Linked DNA regions of Notamacropus eugenii. The protein of the gene in region 1 interacts with the protein of each later gene in a biochemical or structural test. Links are inferred from orthologs where the notes say so. Each region holds a gene or a part of one and is shown in the gene's direction. Other genes may lie near its edges.

Region 1 (10,446 bases):
AATGAGAGTGATGCAAGAAAATAATGAAAAACAAGTCAACTGCTTGCTAAAGGAGACCGCAAAAATGCTGAAGAAAACAACACCTTAAAAAATAGACTAACCCAAATGGCAAAAGAGAGCCAAAAAGCCAATGAGGAGAAGAATGCCCTAAAAAGCAGAATTGACCAGATGGAAGAGGAGATCCAAAAGCTCACTAAAGAAAATAATTCCCTAAAGATTAGAATGGAGCAGATGGAAGCTAATGACTATATGAAAAATCAGGAAATTATAAAACAAAACTAGAGGAATGAAAAATGGCAGAAAATGTGAAATGTCTCATTGCAAAAACAACTGACCTAGAAAATAGATCCAGGAGAGACAATTTAAAAATTATGGGACTACCTGAAAGCCATGATCAAAAAAAGAGCCTAGACATCATCTGTCATGAAATTATCAAGAAAAACTGCCCTGATGTTCTAGAACTGGAGGATAAACTAGATATTGAAAGAATTCACTAATCACCTCCTGAAAGAAATCTGAAAAGAAAAAACTTCTAGAAATACTGTAGCCAAATTCCTGAGTTCCCAGGTCAAGGAGAAAATATTGCAAGAAACCAGAAAGAAACAATTTGAGTATTGCGGAAATACAATCAGGATAATACAAGATCTAGCAGCTGCTACATTAAATGATTGAAGGACTTGGAATATGATGCTCCAAAAGTCAAAGGAACTAGGACTAAAACCAAGAATCACCTACCCAGCAAAACTGAGTATAATACTTCAGGGGAAAAAATGATCATTCAGTGAAATAGAGGACTTTCAAGCATTCCTGATGAAAAGATCAGAATTTTCAAATAGAAAATTTGACTTTCAAACACAAGAATCAAGAGAAACATAGAAAGGTAAACAGGAAAGAGAAATCATAAGGGACTTACTAAAGTTGAACTGTTTACATTTCTACATGGAAAGATAATATTTGTAACTCTTGAAACTTTTCTTAGTATTTGGGTAGTTGAAGGGATTATATACATATATATATATATATATATATATATATATATATATATATATATATATATATATATATATATATATATAGACAGAGGGCAAAGTGTGAGTTGAATAGGAAGAGATGATATCTAAAAAAATAAAAAGAACAGGTGAGAGAGGAATATATTGGGAGGAGAAAGGGAGAAATGGAATGGGGCCAATTATCTCTCATAAATGAGTCAAGAAAAAGCTTTTTCAATGGAGGGTAAAAGGGGAGAGGTGAGAGGGAAAAAGTGAAGCTTACTCTCATCACATTTGGCTTAAGGAGGGAATAAAATGCACACTCAATTTGATATGAAAATCTATCTTACACTACAAGAAAGTAGGGGAGAAGGGGATAAGTGGAGTGTGGGGGAATGATAGAAGGGAGGGCAAATGGGAGGAGGGAGTAATTAGAAGTAAATACTTTTGGGGAGGAACAAGGTCAAAAGAGAGAATAGAATAAATGGGGGGCAGGACAGGATGGAGGGAAATATATTTAGTCTTTCACAGCATGACTATTATGGAAAACTTTTGTATGTATATATACACATGTATAGCCTATATTGAATTGCTTGCCTTCTTAGTGGGGATGGGTGGAGAGGGAGGAAGGGAGAGAAGCTGGAATTCAAAATTTTAGAAATGAATGCTGAGAATTGTTTTTGCATGTAACTGGGAAATAAATACAGGTAATGGGGTATCTATCTTGGCTTACAAAAAAAGACAGAAGATGGGGATAAGGGAAGGGAGGTATGTGATAGAAGGGAGGGCAGATTGGGGGAAGGGGTAATCAGAATGCACGTTATCTTGGGGTGGGGGGAGGAGAGAGATGGGGAGAAAATTTGGACCTCAAAATCTTGTGGAAATGAATGTTGAAAACAAAAAATTAATTAATTAATTAATTAAAAACAAAAGAGAGAAAGAATAGATCGTCGACTTGAGCAGCCAACCAAAAAACATTTAGAAAAGTAACCAAAAAAGCCTTGCAACTATACACAAAGATAAAAATTCTGAAAGTCAAAGATATAAAATTGAAAACAAAAACTCCACTGAATTGATAATAAACTAGAAAATGAGCTTTAAAAGAATGATAAAATAGATAAACTGTTGGCTGATCTGATTTTTAAGAAAAGTGGACCAAATGAAAAATATCAGTAAGAAGAAATCACAACAAATGAATAACGGAAATTATTAGAAATTATTTTGCCTAATAGTAATGGAGTGAATGGGCAGCTAGGAGTCCATGTGGATTGAGGGCTGGGCCAGAAGTCAGGAAGACTGAGTTCAAATCTGGCCTCAGGCACTTACTAGCTATGTGACCCTGGCCAAGTCACTTAACCCTGTTTGCCTCCATTTCTTCATCTGTAAAATAAGCTGGAGAAAAGAATGGCAAACCACTCCAACACCTTTGCCAAAAAAACCCTAAATGGAGTCACAAAGAGTTGGACAGGAAATGACTGAACAACAAATTGAGTCAGTATTATCTGTGATGGGGAAATGCTGTAGGGGCCTTTCCAATAAGATCATGCTTGAGGCAAAAATGTTCATTATCACCTCTGGTATTTGACCCAGTACTAGTCATTTTAGGTATATTAACAAAACAAGAAAAGAAAATTTAGGCAATGAACATAGGCAAAAAAAGCACAATAATCACCTTTTTTTCCCTTAATTTTTCGCAAGGCTGCACGCCAGACTTCTCTAGCATTCTACCTTACCAGTTACCTTCTCCTCCCTCAAACCCATTTTTCAGATTCCTTTTACCTGTTGCCTTCCACCATTAGAATGTAAGTTCCTTACGAGTGGAGACTGTTTTCTTTCTTCTTTCTATCTGCATTTCCTGTACTTAGCACAGTGCCTGGCCCAGGGTAAGTCCTTAATAAATGCTTATTGACCGATGAGTGACTGACTGCCTATGAAATGATAGTTTACTAGAGAACCTTAAAAATTCAACTAATAATTAACTGAAACAATAATTTCAGCCAAGTGGGATATACAATAAACTCACATATATCACTGGAATTTGTGTATATGAGCAACAAAACCCAAAAGAAAAAGAGAAGGAAATGAAAATTCCATTCCTAATATCTATGCATAAGATATCTGGGAGTCCACATTATCAAGAAACACACAGGGATTATGTGACTCCAAAATTCTCTATAGAGAATTCTATGAAGATTTAAAGACAAACCTAAAAACTGAAGCTCATAGTTGGATAGCGTCAATGTAATAAAAATTACATTATCTAAATTAATTTACTTATTCAGTGCCATGCTAATCAAATTTTTTATTGTTGTTGACTCTTTGTGGCCTTTGCGGGGTTTTCTTGTCAAAGATACTAGAGTGATTTAATATTTCCTTCTCCATCTCCATTTATCAATAAGGAAACTGTCTAGTAAGTGTCTGAGACCAGATTTGAACCCAGTTAGATGAGTCTTCCCGACTCCAGGCCCTGTCCTCTATCCACTGCATTATGTATCTGTCTTCAGTATCAAAATACTAAAGGGTTACTTCATAGAACTAGAAAAATCACTAACAAAATTCATTAGAAGGAAAGATCAAGAACTTCAAGGGAAATAAAAAAGTCAAAAGGAAGGGAGCCTAGCAGCACCAGATCTTAAGCCATACTAGAAAACAATAATTATGAAAATTATTTGGTATTAGTTTAAAAAAACAGGAAGACTGATTGGTCAAACATGATACACCAAATCTAGAAGCAAACAAGCATAATAACACTGTGTTTGATAAACCCCTGGACTCCAAGTTCAGGACTTGCTAGTTGGCAAAAACTGCTCTGAAAACTAAAAACTGCCCAGCAGAAATTAGATTTAGGCCAACATCTGAAATCATATACCAGTATAAATTGCAAATGGACACATAACCTAGACATAAAAGGTCACATCATAAGGAGCAAGAAAGGAGATAGTATTCACTGTTATGGATGGAAGAAGATTTCTTGAGTAAATAATGAATGGAGAAAATCACAAGAAATAAAATGAATATTTTTTATCATATGAACTTTGAAAAGCTTCTGCACAAGCAAAATCAGTGCAATTTAAATGAGAAATGAAACAGTTAACTAGTAAAAAAAAAATTTGCAGAAAATTTCCCTCATAAAGTTCTAATGTCTCAGATATATAATAAATTGATTCAAATATGGAAGAAAAAGAGCCATTCCCCAAGAGATAAGGTTATAAACAGGCAATTTCCAAAAGCAGCAACCAATAATGATATGAAAAAACATTTGATATCACTAATATGAGAAGTGAAAATTAAAATAATTCTCATTAAATCAAATTAAAATACCCCATACTCAACAGATTCACAAAGATGACTAAAAAATGAAATTGAGCATTTTTGGAGGCGATTAGACTCATTAATGCAATGTGAATTGATCCAACCATTCTGGAAAGAAATATGGAATCATAACAACAAAAAAACACTATCCATCCCCTCTGATCCAGTGATAACATTGGGAGAAGACTGAAAAATCAGAGACTGCTAATTAGGTATTTTACATTTCACTTCCTCTTGACATTGTCCAAATACCCCCCCAGGATAAGTCTTCCAGGCTCAGCCCAGTCCAGTGAAGGTCTTCTCTGACGCAGCAGCTCCTGCAGCTGCCCATCAGCTCTAACCCCGGGGGACCCAAGTCCTCCAGAGCTCTAGAACTCCCACGGTGATGGATTAGAGGTGCCCAACGGAACACACACGTTCAGGCAAGGCCAATGGATTTGTTTTTCACTGGACCATGTTTATTTGTTATAAGGGAAGGCTTTGGGAAAGAGGGAGAGTAAGAAGGAGGTTAGTGATAGCGATGGCAAAAAAAAGGTGAAGAAAGTATGAATAACATATTTTTAAAAGCACAGAAGAGAACCGAAGGAGGTTCTGGAGGAGACGTAGATAAATAGGACAGCTTTGGAACTATCGATGAAATTTGTTGCGTACTTTTAAAAAGCTATATACATACATACTCTACAAAGCTATATATATATACTTCATATATAACACATCTTCCCCCCTTGTAATATGTGGAATTGTTAGTATTCGATGGTGTTAGGATAACAAAGTTAAGTTTTAGACTAACAAGTTCAGAGTAACAAAAACACTCAATTAAAATCCTGAAGTTAAGGAGCAGCATGCTTGCGCTGGCACTTGGGCCAGCCTCCAGAGGACGGTTTACACTGTCCTTTGTTTTCCTCTCCACAGCCGGTGGAAAGAACAGATCTAACCCCCATCTTCTGCACGACGCGCGCTGACAACCTTCCCAAGGCGCAGACCCATCCAGGTGTGGCGACGCACCTGGAGAGTGCTGCGGACTGTACCACTGTGAGGTGCAGGGGGGGGAGCTGTCCACAAAGTAACACAAAAAGGCCAGAACGGGCATCTTCAGAGTCACGGTGACTGAGACGACATAATACAGAGGGGGGGACTCCGTCTTGCTCCCAAAGCTTCGGGGATGCACGGAATAGGTTCCCCCGCACCCTCCACGGGAGAGTGACTGATTCGAAACTCAAGATGGTGTCGGAGCAGATTGAGCTCAGCCTGCCCCAGCCACTGGCTGGGGAGGACTGGGACCCAGGAGCCGGGCCAAAGTGATGGGGCGGGTCCGGAGGCAGGGTCAGAGCCAGGGGGCGGGGCCAGGTGCGGGGCTGTCTCTTCTTGTCAAAAGGCAGCCTCCCAGCTTGAGCGGTTCCGATCTCCCAGCGGGCGTGTGCCGGGGCCAGGTGCGGAGCAAGGACCGGGACTGGGCTCCGAGCCGGGACCGGGACCGAGACTGGGAGCGGGTTCGCGGTGGAGATCTCGAGATCTCGGGGACCGAGGAGGAGGGGGTGTACGCCTGCCAGTGTGTGCGCCCCTGGGCCACTGAGCGAGGCTGGGAGGTGAGGGCACCGTCTGAGCGCCAGGCTGTGGTGCCACGAGTCAGGCTGGACAGCGGGCTAGCTGGGAGAAAGAACGGAGTCCTGGGAGCCTTTGCCCAGCGAGGAAGTGGACTGTAGGCTTGAACTGACTGGGCTCCCAAGTCAACAAGCGAAAAAGCGTTCGAGTTGGAATTGGGGAGGCAGCGTGGGGTGCTTTTTGGGAGAGGGTCTGAAGGAAACTGATGACTATAGGGAGTCCTAGAGTCCATCTGGGCGCTTTTGATCTTTGTCCATTCCCCCGGGGAATCTTAAGACGCGCAAGAAGGGTCTCTAAGGCTCCTATCCTGTAGAGTTTCTTAAAGTAGAAGGTTCTACAACTATCATTATTGTACGGTGCCATTTAACGAAGGACGTGCCTCCAGAGTGCGCGTGTGGTCGAGGGGATGGGGAGCTTGGGGGGGCTGTAGAACGGCTCCTTTCAGTACCTCTGGGACAGTGTCAGAGTGCGGAGGGGACTCGGGAGCTGCTTCTGAGAGAGGGAAATGAGTTGAAGTGAGAAATTTCCGTGGGCGAATGAGTGAAAGCCATTTGGGAAAGTTTCTGTGAAGGAACTGCGTGTGGGGCTTGAGGGAGTTGTGAAGAGCGGGGTCTGCCCAGGGGAGAGGGTCTAGCCCTCTGGCTAATAGAAGATCAAGGACAAGGCCCTTGATACCTGGGGAATGAGTGGGGTGGAACAGGCAGGGTGCCCCCAGCCTAGCTGGGTCTGAGCCCTTCCTGGTCCTCCTCCTCCTTTTCTCTCCTCCTCCGTGCGGTGAGTGAGTCAGCCTCCTGTCTGGGCTCAGACACAGCCAGGGGGGCTAGAGCCTGGGTTAGATCTTCTTTGAGCTTTGCGGAAACACTCTTGGGCAGAGTTCAGTTCTGCCCCCAAATCATTGTTAGGTGGCTGTCTTCCATGAGGAGGTGAGTATGGGCTAGTTAGGGCAAAGAAACAGGCATTTCTAAGGAAGCAATGGCCCTAAGGTTTTCTGGGATGTTTCTGAAAGGAGCCAGGAGTGACCACCCCCAGGTGTGACTACATGTTTTTCCCATTTTTTTCTCAGGATTTGGTGGTGGGTCCTAGTACTCCAGAGCTGTCATTGAAATGGTCCAGCTTTTTCCTGCCTACCACCTCACCCCTGAGTGATCGCTTCAGCCGATGACCTCAGCCGGTAAGTTCAAAGTGCAGAGACAAGGGCTGTGCCTTTCACCAAATGAGTTTGGAGAAGGACAAAAGAGGGGTCATGCCTTGAGCTGGAAGAAGAGATCTGGACAGCCAGGCTTCTTCACCTTTACTCAGGGCTATCCATGAGAGGGGTGGAACTGGAACCCTTTACCCTCTTTGTTGTTGTTCTCGCTGCGCAAGTGTAAGAAATGACTTATTTCTTCTGGAGGAAAAATGACAAGATTGTGATATAGTCAGATTACCCTAGAGAGAGTAGTCCTTAAATATGTTTTTGGTCTTCTTTGGTAGAAGGGGATAGAGATCCCCCTAAGGGGATAATAGGGGCATCAGAGTTTCTTCTTTGGCCCCAGACCCTGCTGCTTCCCTTTTTCAATTCATTTGAGGAGAGGCCTTAATGCCTCATTGGGCTATGCGGATGACTCAGACTGTAGAAAGTTAGGAAATTTACAATCCATGTTTCAACCAGATCTCAGGCTTATGGGTTTGGTGAGTCTTTGGGTCACTAGTGGTGTGAACTTCTGGAGGAGACAAAACTTTGAGCCCTTCCAAGCCTCTAGTCTGGGAAGAGATTAAAGGGGAGAAGGGAGAAAGTCCAGTGGGTTTACTTCATTGGGACTGGATTTAGGTTGTTCTTTATTTGTGTAAGTAATGTGCAGGATTAAGATAATTTATTTCTTGGAATATTCTCACTTTGCCTTAGGATTGCTCTTTCCTTGATATCAAATCCTTTATAAAAATAAAGTGAAACTCTTGAACTCTCCCAAAGCACAAACCCAATGCTTCTCCAGGGCTAGACGTGTAAAATTTGGAGAATGATACTGGGCCAGAACAAGATAGTTCCATCCCCCCAAGGTAGAATGGAGTAGTACGCAGTTCATTAGCTTACTATGTTCTGTCCCATATTAACCCTTAGACCTAGATACTGGCCCAGGAGAGTTCTTCTAGAACCAATTCCAACAACCTCCTAGTTTGAGCAGGCTATTAACTTGGGTCCCTCTGAGCACAGAGTCAAAGAGTTAGGGGGACCTAGAAGTCTGAGCTGGGACAACAGTCTAGCTAATAATAACACTCCATATTTATGTAGTATGTAGTATTCTACATGTTATCTCTTGTGTTCCTATGAAGTAGATAGGACAGGTATTGTTGCCCTGTTCTGCAGATAAAGAAAAAGGCTCTTTAGTGATTTGTTCCAAGTTCGGTACTTTTTCTATTATATCAAGCATATTTTTGTTCTCCTGACAGCCACAGTATGGAAGAATTATGAGGCTTTATACTTGGGCCAGAACTGAACTGGTTTCTAAAGGCAGTAGAGAGTAGAGGACATGTCCTGAGAAACCTGAGGTCAAATTTTGGACAGTTACCATGGGACCTCAGACAAGTCACTTTATCTCTCTAAACCTCAGTTTCCTTATCTATAAAGTAGGTTTAAGTTATACTAACTACCCTGGAAAGAAAAGGCTTTGTAAACCTTAAAGCAATTTCTAAATATGAATTGTTGTTTCTTCCTCGAGCAATAAAGATTACTTTTCTAGGTAGTTTTCCCACTTGCTTCACTGGCCCACTCTCTTTCCCTCCCTTTGCATAGTATACATTTTTTCTTTTTAAATGTTCATGCTTTTTCTTTTCTTTATCACATTCACTCCCCAATGACTCCTCCCAATAGAATCATCCCTTGTAACAAAATGCTATCCTCTCCCTTTCCTTCTTTTTTTTTTTATTACTTCCCTAGTGGCTCTTGACATTTTCTTCATGCAGATAAATCTCATATTGTGTTTAGTTCTATAAAGTAACTACTTGTAGTTTGGTATGGTATTAAATTAAATATATAAATTAATTTAGATAATGTCACCATTTCTATTCTGTTAGGGTGGCCCAACCTTGAATAATAGATTTCTCTCTAATTATTTGTCTTCCTTATTATGGAGTCTGTTTTAGGGTTGTAATCATATAGCTCCTACCTGGAGAAAATCTCTTTTCCCTATGGGTTAGCTTCCCTTCTCTAAATTTCAAACTGTGCACTTATAGGCATAAATTAAATCATTGTTAATACTCATATACTTTAATAGAAGTATCAAACAGCATACAAATGCAGATGTAACAAGGTATAGCAGGCTATAATATGACTTGTAGCTGGAGGATAGAACTATCTTCTTCCTCTCCCTCCCCCCAGATTAGAGGGGTAAACAGGAAGAAATATATTCAGGCAGATTAAAGGATCAGGGTTTCCTCACAAGAGGGAAAGCAAACAGAATGTCCACTGGACTTAAATTTCTGTCACCAACCATATGCATTTGATGCTTTGTCCTCTGCTTATGCATTTGCTCCTGGCTCTATAACAGTGGGCTGATCATTACCTCCTTTCTATTCCTAATCTCCTCTTTTCTGCTACTCCCTGCCTTTATGAACAGGGGGGAGATTCTCTTACCCCAAGCTTTTCACCAGGGTTGTCAGGAGAAACATAGAACCAGATGTAGCCATTGTCCTTATCTCCATCTCTCTGTATCATTTCGTTGCCTGGATTCTCTGCCTCCCCACTTTTGCAAGGTCAAAAGCCATGGAAAGATATGGAATTTTGGGTAACATGTGGGCTAGACAAGGCTGCTCCCCCTCCCCCCCAATCTCCATGGTAATGGCTCTGTGGAAGGAGCAGTCAGTGCTAAGGATAAGTTGCATTCCGAAAGGAATTTATTTTTCTGTCTCTTTCTATAGGAAGTCTCTTTTATATCCTATTACTTTACTGAAGTTACTCATTATTTCACTTAATTTTTTCATTGACTCTGTAAAGTTCTCAAAATAAATTATCATGTAATTTGCAATTAGATAAAATTCTGTCAGTTCCTTTTATTTATCTTTCTTTTCATATCTCTATAGCTAGCATTTCTAGAAGTACATTAAATACTAGCAGTGACAGAGGACATCCTTGCTTTAGCCTGATCTTACTGGAAAGGCTTCCAGTGTTTGTCCCTTATAAATAATGCTAGCATTTGGTTTTAGATAGATACTATAACTGATGTATTTTGTCAAAGGCTTTTTCTGTATTTGTTGATAATAATTTCATGATATTTTATTGTTCTGTTACTAATGTAGTCTATTCTGTTTGTAGTTAGTGGTGAACCATCCCTTATATTTTTGAATCCAACGTGGTCGTATTGATTCCCGCATTCATTTGTCCATTGCCACTCATACTTTGCCAAACCCCAACCCATTTTTTGCTCCTATTCTTTCTCATGTGCTGCTGAATAGAACTGGAGGAAGTCATACAAGGATACTGTCTAGAACTAATACAAACTTATGTTACCTAATTTCAGCTGGGCCCTAAAGGCAAGCAACATGGCAATTGCTTTCTGGTATTTTATTT
Region 2 (9,297 bases), on another chromosome or scaffold:
TCATTCTTTCATTACTTCTTGCTCCCTGAAAAAAAAGTTCAATTTTCTCTATTTTGCCCTAACTAAGGCTTTCTCCTCCAAAGTCCTCCTTCCTTTCTCCCTGTGCCTGAATTCTGCAAAGTCCAGTTCAAGATTTACTTTTTCATGGAGTCTTCCCTAGCTACCCCAGTCCCAGGTGATCTCTCCTTCCCCTGAAGTCTAATGGTAATCATTTGTATTGTACCACTAAACTCCGGCGCTAAAGCTAAGAATCCAATATAATAAATGTACTCTTTTATGTATTCTTTCCTCAACTAGATTGTGAACCCCCTGAGGGAAGGGTCCCATTCATATTCTTCAGCATAGCTGGCACACTTCTGAGCACATAGTAGGTACTCAATGAACATTTGTTGTTTGTACTCAGGTGTGTTGGAAACTTGGGCAGCTAGATGGTTCAGTGGATAGAGTGCTGGGCCTGGAATCAGAAGATTCCTCAGCCTGAGCTCAAATCTGGCTTCAGACACTTACTAGCTGTATGACCCTAGGCAAGTCACTTAACCCTGATTGCCTCAGTTTCCTCATCTTTAAGGTGAGCTGGAGAAGCAAATAGCAAACCATTCCAGTATCTTTGCCAAGAAAACCCCAAATGGGGTCACAAAGAGTCAGACTACTGAAAAAACCAAACAAAATTTCCAAGCCATGGAGCATCCTTTTGATCGTGCGTCAAATTGGAACTGATTTGGAGGATTGGCTACTCCAGTCTGGCTGTTCCTCCTAGAACAGGGGGCTTCTCTCTGTGTTTATAATTCTAGGCTGACCATTGATTAAGCCTTAATCCTCTGTCCAGAGGTGGTACCCTCTCCAGCTGGATCCCAATGGGATGGGTTTGCTACGTTAAGATAACAATTTTTTTGTCACTTCTTGAAGTATCTGTTAGGAAAGGAGATTTCTGGACTATGGGAGTGTGGATTAAATAACTTGATGGTTCCTCAAAGATCTCAGAGTCTAAGATTCTATCTATTCTATCTATTCAAACCTTGACTTTTTGTCCCACCGCTTGTCATGTTCTGTCTGACCTCTGGGGTGGAATGAAGAGGGTCATGCAGGATTTTCGGGACTGACAAGTACACAAGGGGGAACTCAAACTGTCCAAAGGACTCAGGGCCTTATCTACACCCACACTTCACACTCCCCTATCTCCTAATGATCACTCAGTCCATCTCACAGAATTACAGATTTTTGGAGCTGGAAGAAAACTCAGTGGTCATCTAGTAGAACCCATACAGGAACATCTCTGCAATAACCACTAAAAGTGGTCATCTCACCTTTGACAGAAAACACCTCAAAAAAGGAAACAGCTACTTCCCAAGGCAGCACATTCTTCTAGATCTTGGAGAGTTCTTAATTGTTAGGAAGTTTTTCCTTAAAGCAAGCCTAGATCTGTCTCTCTAAAACTTCCCCCCACTGCTTCTCATTGTGCCCTCTGGGGCCAAGCAGAAACACAACTAATCACTCTTCTGCATTACACTCCTTCCTCTGTCATGTCCATCTCTGACCCAGCCTGGATCCCAGTGACCAGAGCTGGGCCTCTGGCTCCATTTTAGACCTCCCAAGAGCATGCAGCCACCCACTCACCTTCTTTTCTCAATCCATCCCTTCTGACAAGGAAGTCCACCTTACCTTCCTCCCTACTTTGGTCTCTTCTGTTCTCTCTCTTGCTCCCCTTCTACCTCTCATTCTCCCTTTCCAGTATTTCTTCTCCTCTGTCTCCATCACTCCTTCCTCCCCCCCTACCCCGACATCTCCTATCAGCTTCTTATGTCAGTCTTTTCCTTTCCTCTCAATCACCACTTCCCTTTTTCTTAAGTCTCAGTTTCCCTCCTCCCCACTCCCCCCACCCTCTGTCTCTGCCCTCCATGTGCACAGCACACACATGGCCCTGTTGCTGTATTTTTAGATGCCAGTTTCAGCAACGTAATTAGCCTCTTGTTTCAACACAGTCTTGGCCCTGGCCAGGGCCAGGTTGTCCTGGCTGGCACTGCCCCACCCTGGGTGGGGGGGAGGGGGAAGGAAAGGGGAGGAGATGAGAATTCAGTCCCTTCCCCCTACTCAACCCCTAGGGTCAGAGCTTCCAACAGCTGACCACAAATGACAGGGCCCCAAAGTGCAGCCACAGAGATGCCCACTGCTAGGGGTGTGGTTGGGGGGGGGGGAGCCTGGTCCAGAGGCTCTTTTGCTCGACTCATAGAGAGTTCGGGTACTCAAAGTGGTTGGTTAGTATAAGGTGAAGCAGCCCTGAATTAAGGGCATCCTGGAGGCAGCTCCCTCTCCCTCAATTCAACAGACATTTATTAAATGACTTACTATCTGAGGGTGGTTAGAGTTTTTGTTTAGGTGGGGAGAGGGTTATGATTAGGAAGAGGAAGCGAAATCATGTTAGGGAGGTGGGTGAGTGGGTGAGAGAGGAGAGTTGTCTGCCACAGAGCTTTTCTTCAGCATTAAACTCATCTTCTGACAAACCCCTCCCTCCCCATGACCCATTTCTTCTCCCCCACCCCCACCCCCACCCAGATCCTTAGGGGCTCCGATGGTATTAACCCCCAACACTCCCCACCACAGGGGAGGCAGCCAGCCCCAGCTATCTGTGGGATGGAGGGGCTGGGGAAGTAGGGCTAGGTGCCCAGACAGCCGCATGTGTAGGAGGGGATGTCCTCGGATGCCCTCCACCCGGCAGTCCCAGCTCTGACGTGGGTGCCCCCCCCTTCCCTGCCCAGATTAGTGGCAGCTTGGCCTGGCTGTCCGGGGCTGCCCTCCCCCGGTCTGGGGGCTGCTCCAGTGGAGGGAGGCCTGGCTGGCCTGCCCAGGTAAGGGACTCTGGGGAAAGGGGTGAAGGTGGGTGGAGCTCCCAAATGCCCGTATGTTTGTTTGTGTTTGTGCTTGTCTGTGTGGGGGTTGGTTCAGGTCTGCGTCTGGGCACGCCTATGTTTTGGGTATTGGTCGGCTTGCCTTTGTATGTGTGTCCATTTGTGTATCACTTTTTCCTGTGTGTATTTGCGGCCTTTGTGTGTATTCCCACAGTGTTGCTCCACTCTCGGCGAAGAGGTGCTGACTGAAAGGCCATGGGCTTTGGTGCTGGCCTTGGAAAGCTAGATTGGAAGCCAGGATAGGGGTGGGTGAGGCTGTGGAGGGGACTCTCACATTGCCCCCACTTCCCAGGTTCTCTGAGAGCTTATGCTGGGAACAATTACCCAAATCAGGGTAAAGATGAGTCACAGACCTTGAGGAAAACTACCTGGTCTGTCACCCAAGGGGGCCTGACCTCACCCACATCCAGACTTGGAGAAGTGGGGCTTGGGACTTGAGTCTTGCCAAGGGTCCTTAGTCTCCCAAGGCCTAAGCCATAGGTTTTCCCTGCTGGCACTCTCTTCTAGCCTGCTGGCTGCTGGCTGGGGGACACCAAGAGAAGATGGATGTTACAATCCTACCAAGTACCCCTGGCCACATAGTGCCACCCTCTTGCACTCCCTGAAGCTAATCTCAGGACATATATTAGTGGGGTGGGGTGGGAGTCAGGAATAGAGGTTCTGATCTCTCCCATCTTCCAGGTAGGCCAGGCCCAAGCCAATATGGAAGGAGAGGGAGTTACCACCAGACATGGAGGCTATAAAACTGGATGTTAATAAACCATAGGCTCTGAATGGTCCCAGTTCCCCCTGGAACTCTTTTCTCTGCCCAAGCCCCACTCTATCCCTCAATCCTCCAACTTTTTCCCTCTCCTGTCTCTCACAAGTCCTTATTAGGTCATCTTCTTTCTGACTTGGATCTCCACTGATGGTAGCATGTCTCAGGGGTCCAGGGAAGGAAGGAACCATTCTCCCTTTCTTCTTCTTCCCTCTCACTGGAATTAATGACAGTAGCTAGCTTTGTGGATCAGGGATAGGTCCTAACACTGCGTTGGTTCCAGACTAGATAGAGGGCTGCACTCTCCAGATCCTGACTTAAGAGAGTAAGGGATGGGTGATAGATGCCCAGGTGAAGGGAAACACCTATTGAGCTTGTGTATGTGTATAAATCTGTCTGGCTGTCTGCGAACCTGGTTATGCTTCTTGAACCACCCCCACAGAGGAACCTTGGTGCTTCCTTGGGTGGAAGGGTACCTCACTTTCCCATTTCCTCTCCCACTCTTGGGTCCCTCCCTCTGGGCCACTCCCATCAACTGCTTTCCTGTATCGGTGCTAGAAGCCCTGGGAAAACTGGGTAGTAGAATAGAATCATAGGATGCCAGAGCTAGAAAGGACCTCAGAGAGCATCTACTCTAAACTCCATCGTTTTACAGATGAGGAAACAGACTCAGGGAGAGGTTATGTGGTGCTTCAAGTAGTTAATAGCTGGGTCTGGCTAAGAGAGAGAGTGTTAAGGAGTAAGGAGTGGGGGTTACGATGGAAAGGTGCAAAGGGAAAAAAGGGGAAAGGGATACATACATCTATGTGAGATAGACCCATCCCTCCATGGCACAGAGCAGATGTTTCCCATCCTTGACCCCATGACAACCTGACTGCTACTGCCAGCAATGACACTGCCCCTTCCTTTCATGCCCTACCCTGGAGGGGGGGAGCCCCACCCCATGAATCCTGCCCAGCCCCTCCCGCCCTTTGCTCTATTTCCCCAGCTTGGCACCTACTAGCGGGGTGCTGCCCGCCTGCCAGGCTCCGGGCCGGCCCACGGGAGGGTGGGGCCGCTGGGAAGCTGGCACGTTGCCCTAGGGGAGCCTCTCTCAGCAGGCGCCCGGGTGCCGCTGATGTGGGGGGAAGGGGGGAAACAAAGGACTCATTCTCTGGGTGCACAGCCGGTGGCATCGCAGGGGCGTTGGCGGAAGCCCCGGGGGGCCAGGAGGGGGCAGGCCTGGGCGGGGCTGAGGAATCACGGGCTCCTGTTCCCCCCGGGGTGCAGGAGGAGTAAACCAGCGGAGCAGCTTTTCGGCTCCCCAGTTGCGCGTCCGGCGATGGCGATAGGAGGTCCCGCTGCGCTCTCCGTGCCGCTTGGTCTACACTAGACGCGCAGCGCTGCGCTCACTTGGTGCCACCTTCCAGGGCACCCCGATCGCCCCCCCCCAACGACCCCTTCCCCTGGCCTCTCGGCCGCGTCCCCCCCACTCTACCTTTTCCAATCCGGGGCGCTTTTTCCCCCGGTCCAGCTTACTCTCCCCTCGGGGAGCCCGTTCCCCCCAGCCCAGCTCATTCTCCCTCCGGGGAGCCCTCTCCCCCGTCTCCGCCCAGTTCACTTTCCCTCCGGGGGCGTCCGCTCCCCCGGCCCAGCTCCTTCCATCCCCGGGGCACCCGCTCCCCAACCCCGACCCGTCCCGGATCACCCAGAGGCGCAGCACGGAGTCTCGGCGGCCCATGGCGCAGCCCACAACCTCAGCCCAGAAGCTGGTGCGGCCCATCCGCGCAGTGTGCCGCATCCTGCAGATCCCGGAGTCTGACCCCTCCAACCTGCGGCCCTAGAGCGCCCCCGACGCCCGGGGGAGAGAGGGGGTGAGAGGAGCTCGCAGGCCCCAGAGGTGGCTCATGGGGAGGGCGCGTCCAGCGCTAGCCAGGACCCCCGCTGCCTTCGCGCCAGGCCCCAGCAGCACAGGTGAGTACTAACAGTGGGACTGAGGAGAGCACGGGCATCTGGGATCCGAGAGAGTACTAAACCGATTGGTCAAATTGTCTTGGACCCATGTGCATCTGCATAAAGTTGTTCGTCCCTGGGGCAGCATTCCCACTTTAGATCGGCCCCCTAGAAAACCAAGGAGTCCTGTTTCTTAAGTTCCAACTCTTTTTTACTCCTTTCCTTTTTGTTTCTGTGGCACTGGGACCCCTAGACTGGATGGCGCAGAATTCCCCTGAGAAACAGTGCCAGCCCTGTGTCACGTCACGCTGTCATGCTAGTTTCAGTGACACCTGTCACACCAGTCTTGGTAGTTCCCTGCTCTGCTTGGGAGTTTCCCTCTTTTCCCTGCCCCTCTGTCTCTGGCTAAGGGCTTCTCTCCCTGGCTCTTTCTCTTCTAAGGGACACTATTACTCCCTGGAGTTAGGAAGACCTCACCTAAATCAACAAGGATGCCTCTTAATTCCTATTCACTTTAGGGTCTCTCCATGGAGATGTCTCAGCTTTTGCCAGGAGCAAGGACTCATCTGAGCCCAGGGGGAGAGTTCAGACCCCACCAGCTGTTCTGGGCTCCTTGGGGGAGCTAAATAGGATAATCTTAGAGGACCAAGAAGAGGCAGAGTTTTGAGAGTTGCCAAAGTAATGCCCTCAGCCTTAGGGTGCATTCGTCCCTAGTAACTTTTTTTTTTAACCAGATATATACTCTTTTCACCCTGGGAGGCTAGAATGGGACGATTGTAACAGAGCTAACTCTGTTTTCCAGTCTGTAAGATGAGGGAGTTAGAGGAGGTAACCTCTGAGGTTCTTTGCATTTTTTAATATTGTGCTGTAGTCATAACTCATAAGTTCAAGATTTCAAAGGTGAATGAGACCTTATAGACTATTTTGTTAAATTTCCTTAACCCAGAGAAAGAAATTGAAAGTCACACATTTAATAAGATTCCAGAGCCTGGACCCTAATCTTCTGACTTCCAGTCTTATAGTTTTCCACAAAGGTTTCCAGACATTTCTTCCGGGTTCTCATTTTCTCTTCTTTAATATGCTGGTGGAGAGGAAGTCCTAGGTTCTATCTCCTGGTGGTCTAGTGAAAATAACACTAAATTTAGTAAAGGGCTTCCGAGGTAGGTTTGAATCCAGGCTTTGCTCCTCACTAACCCATGTTCCCTTGGGCAAGCCATTTATTTAAACCTCTCTGAAGCTCAGTTCCTTCCTCTGTACAATGATGTGGTCAGATTAGATGTTTTCCACTTTCAGATCTATGCTTTTGTGTCCTCCACCCCTTCTTAAATCATGTGGGACTGAAGAGCTTTGCCCAATTCAATCTAATCCCAATTCAATCTAAGAAGCATTTATAAAATGTGGATTAGGTGTAAGGCACCATGTTAAGTGATGGGGGTACAAAGATAAAGATGAAACTGTTCTGCCATTTATCCTTTAACAGCTAAGTGCATAAATGGAGATTTGAGGAGGGAGAGATTGTCAATGACGAAGGGGGCCAGGAAAGGCTCCCCATGGTAGGTAACACATAAGATGAGTCTTGAATAAACCTTAGGATTCTAAGAGAAGAAGGTGAGGAGGGAGTGAATTCCAGTGAAGGGGCACAGCCTGTTCAAAGTCATGGAGGCCGGAGATGGAATCCTGAGTTTGGGGAACAGCGAGTAGACCAGTTTGGCTGGAACAGAGAGTTCATGAAGGGGCGTAACGTGAAATAAGCCTGGAAAGGTAGGCTGGAACCAGACTGGAAATGGTTACAAAGACTAAGCTGAGGAGTTTTGAATTTTATCCTAGAGGCAATAGGAAATCATTGGAGATCCTTTGAGCAGAGGGAAATGACATGGTCATAAGCCAACTTTTTATGTATGATGTTACATATTAGTTTAAGATATTTATGTTTATAGGCTATTTTCCACCAACCATGACTGCATACTAATAAATATGGAATAGGCAGTTGAATATTATAAAAATCAAGCTGTCTTTCAACCAAGCTAAAATAACCCATATCATTAATGAATTATATTTCTGTTTACTGATGTTCTAGTCAAATGAAATTGATGCTACAAATATTTAAAGATGTTAAGAGATACAAAAACAATAATAAAAAGATCCTCCAACTCCACTCCTATTCCTACTGAGGTTCCCTGGCTTTGGTGGAATATGACAGGGAGTAGGGGGAGGGTCGGGGAGGATGGGGAGGAATAGTGTTGCTTCTTTAGAGTGGGGGCATCAACAGGTCCAGGGTGGGAAACTTAGGGCACTCTGTGGGCAGGCAACTTGGTGCCCAGTCATTGGCTTGTACTTGCCTTACCGGTTTGTGCTGCCTCGATGCCGCCAGGGTGGGGCTGTCTTTGTACCAGGCAGCAGGGATGCCCAGGCAATGCACCTGAGTCCATGCTTTGTTGGTTTCATCACAGGGAGTCCCTTTGTGAGAGCCCCATGAGGGCAGAGGCATCATGGAAAGCACACCCAGCTACCTGCAAGACGCCCCCACCTGGGAAAAGCCAGCATCAGAGAATGGCATCAGACAGGAGCCAGGCACTTTGCCACGGGGTCCACACCATGGGCCACTGTGCCTGGGGGAGTCTGCTCCCTTTTGGAGAGGGACCCTGAGCCCCCCAGACTCTTGGTTTCCACATGGCTTACCCCATGGCTCAAATGACCCACTTCCATTCTTGGGGGGTGAGGGACCCCGTAATGGTGAAGGAAAGGCTAGCTGGTTGGGGGCCAAAGAGGGGCTGCGATGGAAGGAAGCAATGCTAGCCCACCAGCTGGCACTCTGTGGGCAGCCATGCCCACCCCGTCATAACCTCCTGCCCCCAGAGCAAGGTGGCAGCCACCCCAAGAATGATCCATTGGCTTTCCGGCCCTTACATTGCCCCTTTCTTCTGGAGACCAAGATCCTAGAGAGGACCCCTTTCTGGGTACCCACCTGCCTGCCTCCTTACTTGGTGCCCAGCCAGCCCCACGATCGGCCTTCTGATTGGCCCCTAGCTCCTTATCCTTGGGCATACCTGGGGGCCCAGCCCAAGAGTCCTCCCGCTTTCAACTCAGGAAGCAAGGTAAGGACTTGAAAGTGTTGAGAATACCCAGAGGGAACTGAAACTGGGGAGGCTGTAAAGAAGGAAAGAAACAATTGATTCTCTTGGCTCAGTGGAAACTCTTCAGAAGAATTCCATTCAATTCAACAAGTCTTTATTAAGTGTCCTACCTTCCCATCCAAGCACCAGATTAGAGGACATAAAGACTGGGTTTTTTAACTGAAAGACCTAGCCTGGGACCCCAGGATCAGTTTCAAGTTAACTGTCCTCCATAGACCATTCCTTCATTTCCCCCTGTCCACTCATCCCTGTTCCATCCTTCTCTATTACGAGCCAAAGCCAGTGCACAGCTTACCCCTTTCTTCTCCCTTTAGGGCTTTTATCACAAAGATCTAGGCATACCTCGCCTGGCAAAAGAGATGCTGACCACTGCTGAACCTGGGTTGTTGGGCGTAGCCCCTGGTGGGCATCTTCAGAGAGCTGGGGAGATGGATCGGTCCCTATCCTACCAAAAGGATGGGGAGTCAGGAGCCAATGGGCACCAGAACCTTTGTCCACTTCTTGGGGGGTGCCCAGATATAATCAGCAGCCAGACAGTCTGGCCTGCTCATCCCCCAGGCTTGGTTCATAC

What was found. The genes of interacting proteins can lie anywhere in the genome.
Region 2: the proteins of VDR (region 1) and HR form a complex in vitro, tested with the Homo sapiens proteins (2 studies listed by BioGRID and IntAct). The link is inferred for Notamacropus eugenii from reciprocal best matches to the Homo sapiens genes VDR and HR.

Annotation. Positions count from the first base shown.
Region 1 is NC_092874.1:219,605,590-219,616,035, reverse strand, and holds the start of VDR (vitamin D3 receptor), read left to right. Parts: upstream 1-5,672; 5' UTR 5,673-5,887; intron 5,888-6,966; 5' UTR 6,967-7,074; intron 7,075-10,446.
Region 2 is NC_092872.1:612,531,925-612,541,221, forward strand, and holds the start of HR (lysine-specific demethylase hairless), read left to right. Parts: upstream 1-5,483; 5' UTR 5,484-5,613; intron 5,614-7,235; exon of another isoform or gene 7,236-7,353; intron 7,354-8,042; 5' UTR 8,043-8,081; coding exon 8,082-8,687; intron 8,688-9,040; coding exon 9,041-9,297. Other genes in the region: protein HRURF, read left to right, coding at 5,379-5,483. UniProt on the Homo sapiens protein: Histone demethylase that specifically demethylates both mono- and dimethylated 'Lys-9' of histone H3. May act as a transcription regulator controlling hair biology (via targeting of collagens), neural activity, and cell cycle.